2 linked regions of the Lytechinus pictus genome follow. The protein of the gene in region 1 interacts with the protein of each later gene in a pairwise test. Links are inferred from orthologs where the notes say so. Each region holds a gene or a part of one and is shown on either strand. Other genes may lie near its edges.

Region 1 (10,477 bases):
CATTTGATGAGCGTCTATCTCGTCATCGATAGTCTTTCACGGTGCAGGTTTTGCGCCCACCAGCCCTACCCCGGCTCTACCCTTCCGGATCCTGGCGACATGTATTAACTGATGCATGGTATTTATCCACTGCGTATATTTGTTAATTCTAGATCAAATGCATAATAATGAATGATGTTATGTTAGAATAAATGGACATTAGACCAAGTGTGAATAAGACCAAGTGACGATTAGCCCAACTGGGTATTAGACCAAGTGGCGATTAGACCAAGTGATAATTAGACCAATTGGATATTACACCAAATGGAAATTAGACTAAATGGAAATTAGACCAAGTGGATATTAGACCAAACGGTCATTAGACCATGTGACAATTAGACGAAATGAAAATTAGACCAAGTGGAAATTAGACCAAGTGGTGTTAGACCAACTGGAAATTAGACTAAATGGGTTTAGCCCAACTGCTCATTAGACGAATTGGATATTAGACCAAGTGGGAATTAGACGAATTGGATATTAGACCAAGTGAAAATTAGCCCAACTGGTTATTAGCCCAAATGGAAATTACACGAATTGGATATTAGACCAAGTGGGAATAAGACGAATTGGATATTAGACGAACTGGTTGTAGACGAAATGAGTTTAGACTATGTGAAGTTGGACGAACTGATAAGTAGACCAAGTGGTATTAGACCATCCGATAATTCACCATTCATAGACGCAGTGTGATGTAACATTAAGAAAAAAGAGTAAATACATGTAGCATCAGATGAGGGATTTTTTTCTACAAACAAGTTTTCAGCAATCAAAATTGCACAAAAGGTGTACTGGCTATCTGTTATAATCTGAAGATTCAGACACATCAAAGTCATCACTGTCAGTCTATACTGTCAAAATGAGGTCATAATTAACAATAGATTGATTTATCTCTGAAGTCTTTAATTAGTTTGTGCTTTTCCTTTTGGAATTTTTGCAGCTTCTAAATTTTATTGAAGGTGTAACCTACAACTATATTTTATCTCTCCTCATTTTCTATACATCAGACAGCCACAATGTCAATCGTGTTAATTTCATGATTTACATCAATTAATTATACTAATTAGCTTAATAGGTATCCTTTAAACTTAAAAGTTCAAATTTGACCCACTTATGATCAAAGAATAAGCCAGTGAACCCCAAAACTATTACATATTTAGGTAATGTGATGTTACATATTTAGTTTCTTAATGAAATAAAAATCCATGCTCCCCTCGTCTACCACCATGCAAAAATGGACAATTGATGTTACATAATTGCTAATTACTGGTAAATGAAGTAATCTCATGTATTTCTTTTTCTTTCAAGTAATTGGTATAAAGATTCCCTTTGATGTGATACCAAATATACCCATGTAGCACATCTATTTCAAGTTTTATACCATTAATCATTTCTGTGCTTGTCGTGCACATGTAACATAAAACGCATGGCCATATGCGATAGCTATTTAGTGCATAAAGATAAACCTTATATAAGGGATAGGTAGTTTTTATGCCTTGGTATTTTATCATCTGTAAATGGCGTTGAGTCTGGAGTTGACGTTGATGTCATGACAGTATTATGACGATAGTAATGATGTCCGTCGAGTGAAAGGGTTACTCAGGCGTAGAGGTGTATCTGTGATGTAATGCCTAGTTAAGTTGAATCAGTCAGGGCGAACCTCACAGGACGACATTTTAAACGGTCAACATTAACTTCAGTATCCCCTACAAGTTCTAAAAACTGTTTTGCTATATTCTGATGCATAAAATGATTCTTTATGGCTGATTGATCAGGAGGTATAATTGCATTACTGAATATATTGAATATTTGATCCTTGTTGAAATTGATGACTGATTTTCTATGTTCTGTATTGAATGTTTATATCCATATTTTATGTTTTGAATTTGAATTCGAACTGATGTTACCATTGTTCCAAGGAAAACTTGAAATTGAAGATTGGAATTCACTTTGATTCCCTTAAAAATCTGCTGTCAATTGTTACTTTTTCTGAGTTCCATATTTAAGAAGTTGCCACTGGACCAACAAGCTATCACACCCTCCCCTTGGCTGTGAACAGGTTCACCTTTTTATGGTGAAATGGTTGACAAGAGACATCCATACATCCAAAAAAACATCCATGCAAGCGAATACTAAGCATGCCTTTCAGCATGCTGGGTGCCCCACAAAAATAGACAAATTTGTTGAAAAGTTTATTGCAATCCCCATTCTCAGGATGTTTATTCATAAAGAAAACCCTAACCAGCTGGAGCAAGGCTTATTAATGGAAACCTTAAATACATGTACACCATTGTACATGTATTTAAGAGTCTGCCTGATTTTATTAATGATAATGGTAAAACTATATATGGGAATAAGGATATTGGAAACACTTTTAATAATTTTTTTGTTAAAATTGGTCTCTGCCTAAATGGTAATTGCTCAAGTAGTAAAGATTTTGCCAAATTCTTACCCAATAAGTGTTTGCAATCATTGTTTTTTAAACCAGTGAATCAAAATGAAGTAGTTGATATTGTTAAAAATATAAAATGTAGCAGTAGTTGTGGTATCGATGATTTAAATCCAGTTGTAATCAAGAAAGTGATTGTATTCATTCTGCATCCTTTATGTCATATTTTTAATTTATCACTATCTTCTGCCATAGTTCCTTCTAAAATGAAAATCTCAAAAGTTATTCCAGTACATAAAAAAGGTGATCTACATGATGTCTCTAATTATCGTCCCATTTCACTACTACCATATTTTTCAAAGATTTTAGAAAGAATTGTTTATAATCGATTATATAATTTTCTTAACTGCAACTCTCTTTTAAATGATGTGCAATATGGATTTTTAAAAAATGTTTCCACTGAAATGGCCCTAATTAACTTACATGATTATGTTATCAACTCACTAAATAAAAAATTACACACTATCGGAATATTTTTAGACCTTAGCAAGGCTTTTGACTGCATTGATTATAATATACTTTTACACAAATTACAGTTTTATGGAATTAGGGGTCATGTATTAAGTTGGTTTCAGAATTATTTATTAAATCGTGTGCAATACGTATCATATAAAAATGTTTTATCTGAACCATTAAATGTTTTATGTGGTGTGCCCCAAGGATCAATCCTCGGACCGCTATTATTTTTAATATTTATTAATGATTTACCAAAATGTTCAGACAAATTGAAATTTTTGTTATTTGCGGATGATACCAATATTTTAGTTTCTGATACTACACTACAATCTTTGAATAATGTTTTGAATCAAGAATTACCTCATGTAACCGCATGGTTTTACTATAACAAACTCTCTTTGAATATGGATAAATCGAACTATATATTATATCATGGACATAATAGAGTAAAAGATATTGAAGTATTAGATATTAAAATGAATAATCAAGTTATCAAACGTGTAAGTAACTCAAAGTTTTTAGGCGTTTTAATTGACGAAAGACTTTCATGGAATAATCACATAATGGATGTGACAAATAAAATATCTAAGAATATCGGTATCATCCGCAAACTTAGTGATTTCTTGCCTCAACACATTCTTTTAACTTTGTATAATACCTTAATCTTGCCTTACTTGTCTTACTGTAATGTAGTGTGGGCAAATACATATCCTTCAAAACTAGAAAGATTGTTTATTTTACAAAAAAGAGTAATCCGAATATGTTCATTTTCTCACAGATTGGCCCACACTAAAGAACTTTTCGTGAAATTTAATGTTCTAAATATCTATCAACTCAATTCCTACTTTTGTGCAATATTAATTTTTAAACATAAACATAATATACTCCATAATTCAATATCGTCTATGCTTGATTTAAATGTTAATATTCATGATTATAATACAAGAAACAAAAATAATATCACTTATGGACTGTAAATAAAAATTATGTATTATTCTCATTTAGACACCATGCTCCAGCTGTTTGGAACAATCTTCCAATAGAAATAAGATCAATCAGTTCAACGAACGCTTTTAGCAGGAAATTGAAACTATATTTAATCAATAGTGTGTGAAAGCAAGGATTTTTACTGCCTTTGTGTGTTTATGTATTGGGTTTGTGCGGTTAAAGGTGTTTTAACTTATGTTTATAGTATTACATGTACATGTATTATCAAATGATTTCAGTTATTGAATTAAATTTTAAATGAGCATTTTATCAAATTTGTAATTTCAATTTGGCTTATTTTATTTTTTTATGTAAGGGTGGTTATCTCGACAAACCTTGATAGGTTTTTATGACCACCTAATTCCAATATTGTATCTCTTTATTGTCATTTGTATCTGTTTAATACTTGATTTACATGTACCTTATATTTTCTTGCCTTATTATTGCACATTGCACATTGTATTTGTTATTACTGTATTCTATACTCTGTATTGATTTTATTGGAATTGAATAAAACATTGAATTGAATTGAATTGAATTGAATTCAGTACGATAGGAAATAGGTAATTTATCCCCCTCCCCCAGTTAGATTGGTTTGTGTCTCACCATTTTGGGTGACTGCTCCTAGTGCAGTCAGGGTTTCCTGGGATATACTGAGGCCATCCAGGACAAGATGGAGTTCCCCACTCTTCTGTGTAGCCTTGCCCTCTGACCTCAGCTCGACTGGTAACTGTACATTCTTGACTGCACGGTGAGAGAAAATTAGAGAGAAAGAAAGACAGAGGGGCAGGAAGAAAGAAAGCCAAATGAGAAGAAAAAAATCATAAGATGAGATGAGGTGTGTGTTCAGAGAAAAAATAATGACATCGTAATTATGAGAGTGAAAAAAGAATAAAAAAATACAAATATAATATGATTGCAATAGTCAGTGAATTAAGCTATTAATTCAGCTATCAATTAATATTATCAAAGTCCACACTAAAAAGAAAATAAATGAATCAGTAAATTGCCATTCATCTATTGCCAACTCGTCCACTCACCACTTTGTCTAATCACCAGTTCGTCTATGGCCATTTGGTCTCATAACCAGTTGGTCTAATATTCATTTCATTTTCATTCATTTTGCACAATTCACACTTAGTCCAATTAGACCATATGGACTAAATGTCTATTGGACCAACTGGTTATTAGATGAAATGGTTAGTGGACGAATTGGCAATTATACCATGTGGATAGTGGACAGAATTGGCATTGGACGAATTGGCATTAGACGACCAATGAATTGCTTCAAAATGATTATATTTCACATCAAATGACATAAAAAAACAAGTAACCAAGACAAGTCATATGCAAACTGAGCTGTTATTTTCGCGTCCAAAACTTTTTGCGACTGCGGTCACAACATTTTCACGGGTTGTTGAATTCGCGATATGAAGATATACCAAACACTTTCACAACAAAAATAATGCAAAACATGTGCATAAATATGCTTCTCAAATCCTCATGCCGACGTGTTGTGTAATAACAATAATAATAATATGCAACATTTATATAGCGCTAAATACAATAAGCGCCGCATACTTTGTAAAAAATTTGTCCATGTAGAACAGTTAAAAGTGAGAAAATACTGGCTGAAATTTCACTCTTTTGTACCTTTAACTCTAAAAATTCATGTCACCATTTGATCTGTAAGAGCAATCTAATAATGGCACGATTTCTTGGTTCCCACATTGGCACGATTTTATCATGCCAGTTCATGACAATGCAGGCCACGAAGGTTGTCAATAGTTCGTGCCATGGTCCCTTCTGGTTCACAAAATATTCACAAATCGTTCACATATTGTCACATCATTCAATTCATCATTATTCATTGGAGCATAAAATTGAACTCCATGAATTGTGGCTCCTTAAAGCCAAAATGTGCATGTGTATGCTTTTTAAGCGAGCATTTCTGAGATTTGGAGGAAGTATGCGTCACCTATTGTCGTGAAATAGTCATGAAATCATGCAATCCATGCTACAGCACGACTTGGCCCAACGAGGTTGTGTAAAGTTTACGAATAGTTCACGCCAACATTCCCGAAATTCGTTGTGACGGGAATTGAGAAATTCTAATATTTTGGAACAACGCTTCAAGCATTGTTCCGCATTGGTCCACACACTTACCGATATGGAACGACCAGAATGCTCAGTAGTGAGCATATTATTTACTAACAAGCTATACTTACCTATACCATCTCATCAAATTGCTAATCGTTACCCTGACTCGAATAGCCACCGGTAAAAAACTCCCCGAAAGAGGCTAACTGCAATCAGGTAGCCCGGGAAACCCGTCACGGAACGAGACCCATAAAACCCGCTCACCACATATAAGCCTCCTCTTTCGTAGCCAAGGAGGGGCGAAGTCTGCTGGGGAGGACGGGTGGGGAGTTATAGGTAAGTATAGCTTGTTAGTAAACAAATATATCAGGCTTTGAGAAAGTATAGTGGAATTATTTATCCAAGGTTGGTCTGGCAAGTACTATGGCGAAGCCCCGAGGGAAATATAGTAGTTTTGCCAGTCCAACCGAGGATTAATAATTCCCACTATGCTTTCGAATGAAACGCCTGATATATTTGTTTTATATCCTACTTTTAATAATTTATTAAAAGTCCGGTTACTTGAGTTGAATTACCTACTTTTCTCCGAGCCATATCGCGCTCAGCGGAACGCAGATTAGAGCCTGCGCCGACGCATCGCTGGACTTGCCCGGGAGAGAGAGCGCGCTGGCCGGTACGCCCGAGAGTTTAGCTCATAGGTTTAGCTAGATATCCAGTTTTGTGAAATAATGACGTCAGACCTCGATATATCCAAAAATATATCGAGGTCTGACGTCACGCAACATCATAGTTGAAATATATTCGGTCACATGATGCTACTTGAACCAATCACTATACAGGATTTACTCAATGTATGATATAATAAATAATATGCTCACTACTGAGCATTCTGATTTACTACACTGCGCTATACTTACCTATACCATCTCATCAAATTGCTAGAATAGCACAGAAAAAAAAACTGGAGGAGGGGCAGCAATGAGACCCTTCCCAGACATGTTAGCATAACAACGATACAAAAAACTGATTGACTATAAAAAAGAGTAGTCTCCCAACTGGAGAAGCTACTCTAGGAATAAAGGGATATAAATATCATCAACCTCGTTAAAGAAATATATCAACTGGAAATAGTCTAGGAACGATTAGGACAAGACAGAACCGCGGAGGCAAAACCTGTGTCTCGGCTAATTACATCAGATAAGTAATAAGATACAAAGGTATTGGAATTGGTCCAATAGGGCTGCCTGGAGGATCTCCTCCATAGAGGTACCCTGAAAGAGCACCCAAGATGCTGCTATGCCCCGTGTAATATGGCGCCCTCTCCACCCGACCTGATCCCCTGCACTAACCATCGAGAAATTGTAATTGGACTAACAGGGCCGTGAGGTTCTATTGAACTAATGAACAGTTGATGGGAAGTGCGAATACACTTAGTCCTATCAATGAACCACTTTAAGGCACGTACGGGACACCATAACCTATCTTTGGAAACTGACGAGAGATTGCTAATGGCTGAAAGAACAATTTCACAGGGTTTAGAGGTTTCTTTTTTATTCTTAGCTCTGTCCTTCTCCCAACGGATATGACCCGGCCTTACCGTGAGTGCATGAAGCAAACTACGTCTTTGACCTGAAGCTATAGCCATTAAGAAGGCTGTCTTAATGGACAGATCAAGGAGGGAGCATTTATGCATGGGTTCAAAGGGGGATTAGGCTAGGGCCCGAAGGACCCGTGGAAGGTCCCATTTGGGGAAGAGTCTTCGGCTAGGATTCTGTAAGAAAAAGGATCTTGTTATTCTGGCAAGGACAACTGAATTTGAGATAGTCTCCCCATTAGAGAAGCCCGAATGAATGGCTGCTATGGCTGATCTGTAACCCCTTATGGAGGAGACTGATAAACCTTCGTCAAATAATAGAAGTAAGAAATCTGCTATCTTACCTAAAGAGGCAGAGGTAGGATCAATCTGTAAACTGCCACACCACCGGAAGTATCTCTGGAGTCTAGAATCATAAGTGTTCCTGGTGGAGGATCGCAGGAATTTAGACGCCATGTCTGCAGCTCTCTCCGAAAGGCCCGCTTTAGTTGCTGATTTCCTGAGATGGGCCAGAGTGTTAGGCAAAGCCTTTCCGGGTTTGGGTAATAAGTGTCCGTCCCAGGTTGTTTCAAGAGGTCCACCAGTGGGGGTAGCCATTTTGGAGTCCCCACCACGAGATCTGTAAGTGTTGTGAACCATGGTCTCCTCGGCCACCAAGGTGCGATGAGGAGAACGTAAGCTTTTTCCTTCCTCACTTTCTCCAGCACTTGAGGTATTATGGGAAAGGGCGGAAAGGGGTAACCCAGGATCCCCTTCCATGGGATTGTTAGGGAGTCTGTCGCAAAGGCTGAGGGATCTTGATGCTTCGTGCAATAAATCGGGAGCTGCTTGCTCAGGGCTGATGCAAATAATTTATCTGAGGCTGGTCACCCTGACTGAAGATTCTCTCCACGATGGAGTGATTGAGTTGCCATTCTGACGGGAGATAACTTCCCCGAGAGAGGAAATCTGCTTTGTAGTTCTCTTTCCCTGGGATGTGGCAAGCCTTTAGGGTTATGCGATTATTCTGGCACCATGCTAGAATTTCCAATGTCAGGAAGCAGCGAGTAGGTGACCTTGTCCCTCCTTCCCTGTTTATGTAGGAGACCACTGTGCTGTTGTCTGATTTCACCAGAATGCACTGGTTGGCAACTTGGGGGAGGAAGGCAAGTAGAGCCAGTTGAACCGCCTTCATTTCTAGAGCATTGATATGCTGTGCTGAATCTCTTTCTTGACATTGGCCAGAGGCTTTGAATTTCCCCATGTGTGCTCCCCAACCCAGCTTTGAAGCATCGGTCGTTAGGGTGAGAGTTGGTTTCGTGTTCTTAGTTTGCTACCCTTGGTTCAGAAATCGACATGCTGACCACAGATGAATTGCATGCATCATCGCATCTGTCATGGGAACAAGATGGTCCCTGGGGTGAATTCTGGGCCTGAAGTGTCTCAGGAAGTGCAGTTGGAGTGGCCTCATATGTCATCTGCGCTGCGGGATTAGATCTACTAGGCTTGCTAATAGGCCTAGGAAAATTTGCCAAGTTCTGGCTGGCGAGTATGAGTTTGAGTAGAGCTCTGCACCTACTGACTGAATCCTCTTTATTCTGTGAGGGGAAGGGCGAACTATTAAGTTTGGGATGGATATTATCGCCCCTAGAAACTCTGGTGATATTGTTCGTGAGAACCTCGCTTTTTCTTCGTTGATCAGAAACCCTAGATCCGAAGCCAGCTTTCGGACAATGCTTACGTTGTAGACAAGAGTGGTCTTGGAAGGGCCGAGGAGGAGCCAGTCGTCCAGGTAACAGAAGATAGTAATGCCTCGCCTTCTTAACTCTGCGGCGAGGACTCTCACCAGTCGGGAAAATATCCTTGGGGCAGGCTTTAGGCCGAGCGGAAGGGCTATGAACTGGTAGCAAACGTCTCCTACTTTGAAGCCCAGAAACTTGCAGGCCTCTGGGGCTATAGGAACATGATAGTAAGCGTCTCTGAGGTCTATGGTGACTGCCCATTGGTTGGGTTTTATCAGAGGTAGGATGGTTGTAAGGGATTCCATTCTAAATGTCTGATCTGGAAGGAGTTTGTTTACCTTCTTTAGGTTGATTATCATGCGGAAACCCCCGGAGCGTTTCTTTACCAGGAAAACGAATGAGAGGATGAGGGACTTGTGGTCTGGCACTGTTACGATAGCTGCTTTCTGGAGTAGGGACTGTATTTCTGACCGGAGAGCCTCTCGGCGTGAAGGATCCCTTGGTATGGGGCTCTGTTGTCGAAAACGAGAAGGATGAATTACTCTTGGGAAATTTGGATTGTATCCCGACCTTATTATCTCTAGAACAAATATGTCTTTGGTTATCTTTTCCCAGTTCTGTAAGCAAAGAAGTAGTCTTCCCCCTACTGGGACTTGCTGAAGGTGGGGAAGGACTAGTGTTTGATTGTCAAAAGTCCCGGTTATGAGTGGGGGCCCTGAATTCGGTGCGGTGAAAGTGGGCCTGGCGGCCCCGTCCCCCACCCCGAGGTTTCCTATGACTTTCCCCGCTGCCCCTTTCATTCCTGGTGTCGCCACCAGAGCGAGGGAAGAAGGAGAGGGATAACCCCTTATGTTCATTGTAGGTCTGGGGTTGGGGTCTGGAGCTAGAGCTAGCATAAGGGGGTCTCTGGGCCTGGCCCTGGGCCGGTCTAGGGCCCGGCGGACTAGGTCTACTCGAGGAGAGCTTATAAAATGTCTAGTCAGCTGTGGTGCTGGCTGAAATAGACTCGTCCAATACTTCTTGAAAGTGTCCATGAAACAAGTCCTTACCTTCGCAAGGAAGCTTATTGAGAAGTCTGGCTGCCCCTTTCTCGATCTTGAGAGCATCTAGAACTTTAGCCCTCCTTGCCCTCGT
Region 2 (11,182 bases), about 43 Mb from region 1:
AATATTCCTAATTTTCTCATTCATTCCCAACTAAATCAAAATACCCTCAATGAAATAGATGGCAATTTCATAGATGTGAAGATGTGATTTTTGGGTAGGAAGGATCCTTTTTCTTCCGGTTCACACAAAGCACTTCAAAAATAGCAGGTCAATTTTTAACTAAGAAAACAGTGACAATGAAGGGTATCCAAGCTTCAACTCCCCCCCCCCCCCCAAAAAAAAAAAAAAAACATAAAAATACAAGGTGAAATTATTACAAGTCTGAAATGTAAATAAATGCACGGAATTTTCCCCAAACTGTCTACTTACCGGTGCTATAGTAAGTTCCCATTTTAGAATGTTTGTGTCATTTACTATTACTTCTTTAAGACATGCTACATTACTTTTTTTGATCTCCTCCAGCTCCTATAAATAGCAAAGAGAATGAAAACAAATAAAGATCATTAGAAATATACAGAGTTAAATCACATCAGGACACAATGAGAGAAAGCTCAGCAACATTTTGTTCACAAAATCAATGGGATACACATACGTCTCTGCAATGTATGCCTCTCTTTGTCGCAATGCCGATATCATGAAATTGTAAACACACTATAATGAAATCATGTCATGAGTCTTTCCGCACAACTTTGAGACTTGTCTTGAAGCATGTAATAATAATAAGAGGCATTTGTACATGTATAACGCCATCTATCAAGAAACAATCTATTCAGAGTGAGTCACATTGTTATTATTACCCCGGCTTCAGCTCGAGCTGCCTTTCAGCGCTCGTGCATTCAAAGAATTAATGCTGCCGGGTTCCCATTCACCTCACCTGGGTCCAGTACAGCACAGTGTGGATAAATTTCTTGCTGAAGGAAAATTCACCATGGCTAGGATTCGAATCTACACCCCTCTTGTTTAAAAGACAAGAGTCAGAACCACTAGACCACGACGCGCCCATTGTGAATGTGAAATAGGTAGCCTAAGTGGGGTGATTTGTCTGTCCATGCTGCTGAACTTTGTCTCACTATATCTAAAAAAGGCTTTGTAAGTTAAATGTAGGCCCAAAATTCATTGTGAACTGTTGATTAGCAATTGATTGTGGATGTGCTTCAGAACAGATACATGCAATCTTTAAAATTCATTGTCTTTTCAATATTGTAATATCATGTTCATCTTTTTCCAAATACAGTTCAGGGTCAAGAAAATTTGTATATGGGCAGATCCAACAACCAGAACCAGAGAATTTAAACCATACATTGTTTCAATTGTCTATCAGTGTGATTGTCACAATCATACGGTGATTTCAAGTACGATTTTGACATCTGGTGCTGAGACAACACCAACATCAGTTACAACACCGTACTTGAAGTGATGCTTGTGTTGGAAATGACCTCAGAAAAATGACATATTTCCAGCAATTCGTGTTGAAGGCTGGTGTTGAATGTCGTTTGCTGAATCCAGCACTGCGGCTGGTGTTGACGATCTATGTGCAATTTCCCCATTTACCATCAACAACCCCCAGGAATTAGGAAAATTGTGATTTCAAGTTCGATGTTGGTGTTGGCAATCTCAAGCTCGCGAACACGATGAAACAGCCTCATAAAATTAGCTTTTACAGTTAAGATGAGTAGACTCTACTAATAATTTGAGCTTTATGTATTTTGATGAACAATAATGTTTACTCTTTTGAATTCTTGAATTAGTTAAAGCTTCTTAGCTCAGTATTTTAATTCCAGAAATATCATTGGTTCTATTAATTGAGAATCAGTGGCAAGATCTTTGTCAATTCATCAGAATAAGCTTAAACTTCATCATGGTCAAGCGAAAGGAACTTAGTGACGACCTGAGATTGCGAATAGTGAATGCTCACAAAGATGGTTTGGCTACAAGGCAATGTCCAAGCGTTTTAAGGTTCATGTGGCTACTGTCCAGAGCATCATCAGAGAGTTCAAGACTATCAACAAAGTGGAGATTCTTAAAAGACCTGGAGGGAAGCGCAAAGTCTTGGCAAGGCAAGCAAGATGTTTAGTTTGAGCTGCTGCTGTCAACCCCAGAATCACCAAAAAGGAGATGCTAAAAGATCTCAATGGCCAAGGGACCAAGATCTCCATGCAAACCATCCAGAGGACCTTGAATAAGGCAGGATTGAATGGATGACGACCATGGAAGACTCCACTCCTAAAACCAATTCACACAAGATCACGTTTGGACTTTGCCAGAAGACATCTGGGAAAAGATAAAACTTTTTGGAGGTCTATTCTTTGGACTGATGAAATGAAGATGCAGCTGTTTGGACACAGAGATGTCGCCTACATCTGGAGGATGAAAGGGGAAGCCTTTAGCCCAAAGAACACAGTGCCCACAGTAAAACATGGTGGAGGGAGCATAATGCTTTGGGGCTGTTTTTCAGGCAGTCTGCTGAAACACTTCAACTTGGACCTGATTGGATCTTCAAACAGGACAACAATCCAAAGGAGAAGGTCAAAACATGGTTTCAAGAGCATGCAGTCAACGTACTGGAGTAGCCGAGCCAAAGTCCTGATTTACACCAAATCGAAAACCTTTGGAAAGAGCTCAAGGTGAAGGTCAACGCAAGGAAGCATAGCAAACTGAAGGACTTGGAGAGGATTGCAAATGAGGAATGGACCAAAATCCCTGTAGAGACATGCAAGAACTTAGTAACAAACTATAGGAGATGTCTGGAGGCAGTCATTGATGATAAAGGCTATTTAATTTATTAACTTGTGGTTCAGGGCAGGGGTATGAATACTTTTGGACATCAGAAAATCCAGGAACGTTCTATTCTTTTGATATGCAAATGAGGTGAAAATAAAAATGGCATGCTTTTGTACATAACTCTGTTATGTTGGTTGTTCCGCTGAACTCCGTTGGCTCCACTCACCAATTACAGAGACCCAAGTTCTAACTCGATCTATTCAGGGACTCAATGGCCATATGTTTATGTATTAAGTTTGGATCAACCAGGAAGTGGGAGTTGCACGACAGCCGAAGTAAATCACTGTTTTTTCCACCTTTTAAGTTTATTTTTTCCCGTTTTGGTGCGTTTCAGGCCAAAAAGGAATAACAATCTCTATTTTGGTCAATTTTTGAATTGTTAACCCCCTAATGGTGGCTGTATGATAGCGAGCCGTCTGTGTACGAGGAGAAATAAAAAAAATTAAAAATGTTTTAAAAACTCCTCGAAACAGACGGCTGCCAGCTGTCTAACCTAAATGTATTTGACTGATTTGTAACCGAATCCAATTCTATCAAAAATGCAAAAAAATGTGGTTTTCCAAGGGGTATGAATACTTCTGAGCACAACTGTATGATGGGGTGACCATAATTTGCGCGCATTTTAAAAATCGTCATGAAGTTGATTTTCAATAAAAAATTTCTCACAGCTCACACAAAATTAATCAAAAATCATAAATACCAAACGGAAAGCAAGATCCCGTAGTCAAATTCGCTGCTTGACGGAATTGTAAAGTAGGTCACGGGTTTCGTTGGCATCGCGATCTCAAATTTCCATGATGATCGACTAGCGCACGCTCGGCTGAAAAAGTGTCATAAAAAAGTGTGACCTTAATTTGCGCACGATCGTTTTGCAAGGCTTTCGAAAAGAAATCAAGCAAAGGTAAGATAATTATATCAGATGGAGGTTAAAATGCCATAAATTCGGTTGGTATCACATTTTACTTACTTATTTGGAGACCTCGGCTTGCAAACTGGCGATTTCTTGATGCTTGTCGAGAGGGTCGGATTTTCTCGGAGCGGATGCAAAAGTTAACAAAATTTGCCGATGTTTTGCCAATAACAAATTGAGACCTTACCTTTAAGAAAATTAAATATTAAGTCGCTCTTTCTGTTGGTGATATCAGTTTTTCAAAATATTAATTAAATATTGAAGTATTCGACCATGTGCAAAATTAGGTAACGGCTAACGCGCGAATTAAGGTCACACTCACACTACCATATATCTGGGCACATAACATCGGTACCGCCGTTTCATAAAGGCTTTAATAAAGCCGTTCATAAGTTAAGAGTACCGGCCTTATCGTAAAATTTGTCACCTCTCTTCTCGTGTGTGTCGGTGTGTGCACGCTCGTTGTGTACAAAGTCAATGGGAGTGGAAAGATGTCACCACCGCCGACTAAATAAACGGCAGTGAATGGACTGGTGACATAAACCACGATAATGCCAGAGTACCAATACTCGAAAAAGTCCAACTAAGACTAAGAGTAAGACTAAGAGCGACTTTAAAAACGACTGGTGATCCTTTCTTACGTGCTAAACCGTCGCCAATATCACATAAACCACAAGAAAGGACCGCCAGTCGTTCTTGAACTGTCGCTCTTAACTTACGAACAGCTTTATGAAACACTCACCCGGTACCGTACGTGAATGAGTTTTGTTTAATGTTTCATGTACTGAGTCTATGTAGCTCCCGACATGCCCGTGTGACGTGAAGACCGAGCCAAGTGGAAGTGGTCGTCAAAACATTTGCAATGGGTCTCAACGAAATCACAGACACATAAGTAGCTCTTAAAATTACTGAGCAAATTAGAAATAAAAATTCATGCACTCAATTCTTATTGAGATGAAAAGCGGTAGGAAAAACTTGACCTCTTACCTTCCCTAATCTCTTTGTGGCCGCCATGATTGCTGTATGTTGAGAAATCAATGCGCGCCCTCGACGTCGACGTACTATACTAGAGCTAGCTGCGATGATAGCACGAGCGCTACGCGACGACAGTTCAGCGGCAAATTCGGTGGTCGAGGTGACCGGTGGTTGCCAGCCAGCCAGTCAGCAGCAACACATAACAGTACCGGTATCTCTCTTGCAAGTTTTTTTTTGGGGGGGAGCAAGATAGGAACAGGGTAATTTAATTGTTTGGAGGGGGTGGGAGGCAGGGGCGGATTTTCCAAAGGGAGGGGGCACATTTTGCAGAGGGAAAATTTTGATTGACAAGCAAAAAAAAAGGGGGTCTTCATTTTCAAAGGGGGGACACACTTTTGTTTTAACGGCATTTTTACATTACAAATTTTAATTGTGCCTCTCAAAAGGGGGGCACGGGCCGCCCCCCCCCCCCCTGGATCCGCCAGTAGTGGGAGGCATAGTAAATTGAGCGATCGAGGGGCGGCGCAACGACTCGGAGGAAAAATGATTTTCATCCATTTTTACCCCGCTTTTAATAAGAGCTACAGTATATAAGCTATTTTTTCAGAAAGGGGGTGGGGGCTGGGGAAGGGGAGCCGGGAGGGGTCACAGAGTACCCATGCATGTCAAAACAACCCCCCCCCCCCAAACAAAAAAAAAAGAAGAGAATTATAATCATTGTCTGATTCCGTTAGAATTTACGACTAAAGGCGGTGTCCACGTTTTTGGGAAATTCAATATTTTTCAGTTTTACGATTGGAAAAAATGTGACTTAATAACTGGTTATTAAAAGTCACAGGGGGCAATCTGCCCCCTCCCCCTAATGGGTTTCGCCGGGAACTTAAAAAAATGGGGAAAAGGAAAGAAAAATATAATAGATTAATACAGTATTCCATTCATGTCGTCATGTGCTCATATTCAAATTCTAACATTTTCTCGCTCGGTCGCTAAACACTCCCTCGCAAAATATCACCTGAATGAAGAATACATTAATGCTCTCTTAAAGTGTGAGTATAGTAACCATTGACACTAAATTAAGATCATTCTATTTTAAGATTTTTCATAAAGCCATAACATTAAATGATTTTGTATATAAGATTAAATCTAAGGACTCACCCAATTGTGTTCTCTGTGATAAAAGTGAGGAAACAATAGTCCACCTGTTTTGCGAATGTGAAAGGGTAATTCCTATTTGGCAATCCCTTTTAACAAAAATTTCCCAAAATAATGTTCAAATAAATGGTTCTAATTTTGAAAAAATGTTTGGACTCCCAGCTGATAAGTTCATTTCATACCTTTTCTTACTTTTGAAGTATTATATTCATATATGTAAATTTAAGAATAATCCTCCAAGTTATGCTCTTTTTAAAACATTTGTTAAAGACAACAGGACTTGGAATATTTGATAGCTAAGAAAAATAATAAGTTGCCCGCTCACTTTAAGAAGTGGCGATTCACCTTATAATTTGGTTTTCAAAAATGTCAACAGGTTACATGATAACTAATAATGTATATTTTGTATAACAGGCTTAGTGCCCCATTTTTAAAAATAATACTGCACTGTTTTGGTTATATGGTTGTAGACATCAGGGGAGCGTTTCATGAAAGGACTTGTCGGACGTTTTATCCGACAAGTCCCATTTTATCCGACAGTTACCATAGTAACAGTACCTCTCAGCCAATCAACATCAGAGAAAGATGTCAGATCTGACAACTTGTCGGATGAAAATGTTGATGAAACACTCCCCAGTTCCCATTTTTTCATGCAACTTGTATCTCAGTTTCCTTGATATACTTGTTCGTTTAAAAACCTTATGTCGTCTTGGATAACCAGTTGTGTTTTTTAATCCTATCAATAGTTGTTGAGAAACCATTTTATAATCATAGCTTGTATATTTTGTTTTGTCTACTTTATTTACCAAATCACCTATCTTTGTTTAGATAACACTGATATTAAGTTATCACTTTGCCACATTCCTTTTTTGGGGGGTGGGGGAGGATAAGTGGGTAGGTTTTTTTTTTATTATTATGGTTATTTTGTCTTTTTTGTGTAACTAACTTCGTCCCTAATTTCACGAAGTGACGGATGAGCGCGCAACTTTTAAAAAGTTAGTTTTGAGTAAATCGCGTTCAAATGTTTAGACTTCAATCTCAACGTCTTCCACGCATGCAGGGTGGATAAATGTCATATCCTCGTATTGGGCATATTCTGGACAATATTCAAGTCCAATTATTTGCATTTTCCTTTAATATTTAAGAAGATAATGAGCTCTAAGCAGAACCATATTTTCGTGAAAAAAATATATTACGATACGCACTTAGATTTATTTTTACGAAGTGACGGATAGTGCTCCGCTCGCATAACCGTCACTTCGTGAAAATCCGAAATTCAAGGACGCGCTTCAATTTTGTTTTTACGAAGTGACGGGAAGAGGCTCTGTCGTAGTCCCACGTATAGCCTTGTCGATGCAATGCGATAAATGAGGTCTAAATATACATAATCTCTTTATTTGCTATTGTAAGAAAAATCAATTCCAAATGTCAGATTAATTAGGCCTACATTTACTTCTTTTAATTAAAAAAAAATCACTTTGAATACTTTGATTACATTTTTCAAGTTATAACAGGAAGACCAATAGACACACGTGTTATACTTAAGCCTATTTCATTTTAATATTCATGATATTATCTTCATTTTTGAGGGATGAACTCTGATATACGGAAACTTCCTAACAGGATATGAATAAAATCACTACAATAGATACAACACATTTCGTCTTCGTAATTCTATGTTTGAGAAAGGACTATTAAAGGAGAATGAAACCCTTGAAACCAGCTGAATCCATATCAAAGAGAAAAATCAAAGAAACATATTGTTGAAAGTTTGAGGAAGATTGAATGAATAATAAGAAAGTTATGAGCATTCGAATATTGAGATCACTAGTGCCATGTAGATCCTCCCAACGGCAATGCGACCAAGATCTGTGATATCACACACGTACAACTCCCTCATTACTTTAATTAGTACTTATTTCACTTATATTCTCACTTTTATAGAGTCTATCACAAGGTGAGGTCTTCTCTTTATGAGATGACAAGTACAGAGGTTTCACAACATTATATCATTGATGAATCGTTTGTCATATGATTAGAATGAGCAAAAAGAGATGTTTTGGGGTATATTTTCAGTGTCCAAATGGGAGAGTTGTACGTGTGTGACATCACAGATCTTGGTCGCATTGCCAATAGGAGGATCTCCATAGCATTAGTGATCTCGACATTCAAATGCTCATAACTCTTTTATTGCTAGTCCTATTTTTCTCAAAGTTTTGTTGATCTTATTCTTTGATTTTTCTGCTTTCACAAAAGCTAACTTGCTCCAAGAGTTTCATTCTCCTTTAAGCAAAGACTCCGTTGGAGTAGAAAATGCAACATTACAAATTAAACCTCTCCACCCTCCTAAAAATATGAAATCCCAATTAAGTTTCTCTTAAATGTTGTTTATAATCTTAAAGGTATTCTCTGTTAAGGCCGACTCGTTAGCTATTCAAAATTATTCTTTGAGACTTAATTACCTCGAAAATGGTACAAAACTGAATGTGGAACTAACTTTTTAAAATGGCAACAAGAATTGGTAAATTATGACTGATTGCCACCCCCAACCACCCCCCCCCCCCCAAAAAAAATAAGAATTTGTCAAAACAAAGCGAGCAAATTTCGAGTAGAACCACTCTTGCCCCCTTCTCTTTCTCTACTCAAGTTTTCCTTTATCAAAATGGTCATGCATTCTCCCCTGGAAATCATATAAAAATACCCTTTTTATGCAAAATAAGAGATATGACTTGTCATAAATCATTGAAAATACTAACTATATAAAACAAATTCCACAAAGTTAGCAATGTAAATAAATTTAGAAGAACTCTTTTAATTTTATAACATATGAAACCATAGCAGCAAGTGACAAATAGACAAGTAAAATATGACATTTTTTCATATCAATCATTATGATAATGGTTATGCTTTACCAATTCCATACAATGTTAACAATGGAAATATATCTTTAATTCAATAATATATCGGACCATAATCGGACCTAGTGACAAACACATCGACATTCATAATTATTATAATGAAACTAATATTGCACTGCTAAATGTATAAGAAGTGAATTGTCAGGTACACATTGACAGAATTTTATCATTTTATACATTAAATAGAACTTGAACATATGCAACAATATATTTATTTGTATATCATGCCCTGCTTAACACAATCAGCAATCCTAGTCTGTGAATGCCACATTTTGAAATACAGAATTGCTAACAAGTACCAAATTCAATAAGTTACTCTACTCTCAAAATATTCCAATGTCAAATGAATAAATCTTCCATCACAAGAATACTGGAATATAATCAATGCTAGTGGTGCAGGAAAGTTGTATTCTCTATGTCTATTTGTATTGACATACATATATACAAGTAAAATGGTATATTTCTTTTCCATCAAAATAGAAGTAACATAATCACCATTATTTATTACATTCACTACACTTTTTTTAAAATAATGTCATAATTAAATCAGTCGATCACAGTTGCCTTGAGAGTTATTTCATCTTTTTACACATTGTCAAGTACTAAAAAGTCTATTAGTGCTAAAAGCTAATCTTTACCAAAGGAAACATGTAAACCTTTGAATAAAAAATTATCGACTAATGAAACTCAAACAAGGAAATATAATTTTAAATCAATTATTTAACTTCGTATCAAACAGGATCATTTATTAACAAATTCATAATCAAAATCCCGAACGACAGCGGCAAAAGCAACCAAAAAAATGCAGTAATAAAAATACGAATGACTTAGTAGATTTGTATTTTTCCATCTTTCTCAAGTTATTGGCTAAATACACTCATCAATACAATTTCCAATCAAACACTTGTTTTTTAATAGCAAATTATTGCCAGAGTCCAAAAACAGAAAGATCCATTAAATACACCTTAGTTCCAACTTTGAAAACTTTACATTAAATTGTCATGATTTTAGCAAGTAACATCTTTGAATTAGTGGGATCATGTACAAATATGTGAAATTCTTACTACAAATATACAGAAAAAACATGTGCTGCAGTGTATCTTTAACCTCAAGCTAATGTAAAATTTCTGCTAAAAATAATCATGTATTAATTCTTTCCTGAATATCATTCATTAGAAAATAAACAGTTGGGTACTCTAGAATAAAATGATGACTCATCAACTGTAAAACTGCATCAACCAGGTGTGAAGAGTGTCAGGGGATGAGACTGAATGAGCTCTCAAACTACTGTACACAAAAAGGGATATCAAGCTGAAAATAAAAAGTTAAAATAGCTGAAATCAGCTTAAGAATTCTCACACCCCTAATAGACAAAAAAAAAACTCATGGAAGGGGGGGGGGGGTCTGTATTAACACATCTGGCTTTTGAAGATGAATTCATGAAAACCTAATATGATTTTCACCCTTACTAGTAATATATCCTGTAACAATCAAACAATGCATGTCAGTCTAAATTGTATGGTTATGTTATTATAAGTAAGTATGAAGTATCAATGCAATACTTTTAAGCACAATAAAGCTAGTAACATTCTGTTTTACAAAAATGTAGGAATATGCAGTATTTTTTTTTAGATGGCACCAAGTAAAATGAAAACATACCAACAAAATGAATAAAGAAGGGTAATTCTTTTGCATCCATATGCGGACGATGTGTATTTATAAGCAATTTAAACATGTGGTAAGTATAGCAGATAAATGACTATTCTGAACTTTATATTTGACTGTATATATAAAACATATTTGAAGGAGTTCATAATCATATCACTGTAAGAGCACAGACTAGTTCAAGCAACATGGTTTCTTTATATAATACACTGCTCTAAAACTGAAACCAGATTTGAAAGTCCTATCAAAATTAAAACTAAACTTATGTTGAAGTCAAAATCACAAGAAAATTAATATTGGTATCAGTTACCCAGCTAGAAACTAAAGAAAAAGTTAGATGAGAGCCCTGAACCTGAAAGGCCATGAGGCAGAGCCAACTCCTTCACATTTTTCACAAGTGTAGACAAAGTTTCATCATCAGAATTGCAGTCTAGAGTTCTCAGAAGATGTTTCTAGTTTGGTTACTTCAACAGTTCAAAACCAGGGCACACAATTAAAATCCAGTCACTACCGATTCAACTGTCATGTCACCAAATCAGATCACATCTGCGGTGTTCAGGGAATTATCAATGACCCATCTGACAAGCGTGTCGGCTCCTGGATCTAACCTATGTATGTAAAATGAAATAATATACAAATCATCTGTTTGTTTTCAAAGTTTTTTGTCAATCAAATATCAAGTTTGTAGGATAGATAGCAGACTCAATATTTTAAATTGCCCTTACCAAACAAAAACCTGCCCAGTCAGTATGATGGTGCAAGAATATATTTATACACTCTATATACCACTGATAATTACAGCAAATATTTGAATAAGATGTTTCCAATTTATACAAAAGTT

What was found.
Region 2: the proteins of E3 ubiquitin-protein ligase Su(dx)-like (region 1) and ubiquitin-conjugating enzyme E2 L3-like interact in binary tests that used the Caenorhabditis elegans proteins (3 or more experiments, as listed by UniProt). The link is inferred for Lytechinus pictus from reciprocal best matches to the Caenorhabditis elegans genes wwp-1 and ubc-18.

What each region holds. Positions count from the first base shown.
Region 1 is NC_087246.1:43,900,752-43,911,228, forward strand, and holds the start of E3 ubiquitin-protein ligase Su(dx)-like, read right to left. Parts: upstream 4,668-10,477; 5' UTR 4,535-4,667; intron 1-4,534. UniProt on the Caenorhabditis elegans protein: E3 ubiquitin-protein ligase which accepts ubiquitin from an E2 ubiquitin-conjugating enzyme in the form of a thioester and then directly transfers the ubiquitin to targeted substrates. Ubiquitinates klf-1.
Region 2 is NC_087246.1:912,692-923,873, reverse strand, and holds the start of ubiquitin-conjugating enzyme E2 L3-like, read right to left. Parts: upstream 4,774-11,182; 5' UTR 4,646-4,773; coding exon 4,619-4,645; intron 406-4,618; coding exon 310-405; intron 1-309. UniProt on the Caenorhabditis elegans protein: Ubiquitin-conjugating enzyme E2. Accepts ubiquitin from the E1 complex and catalyzes its covalent attachment to other proteins. Required for diet restriction-mediated lifespan extension, probably acting as part of a complex with ubiquitin-protein ligase wwp-1.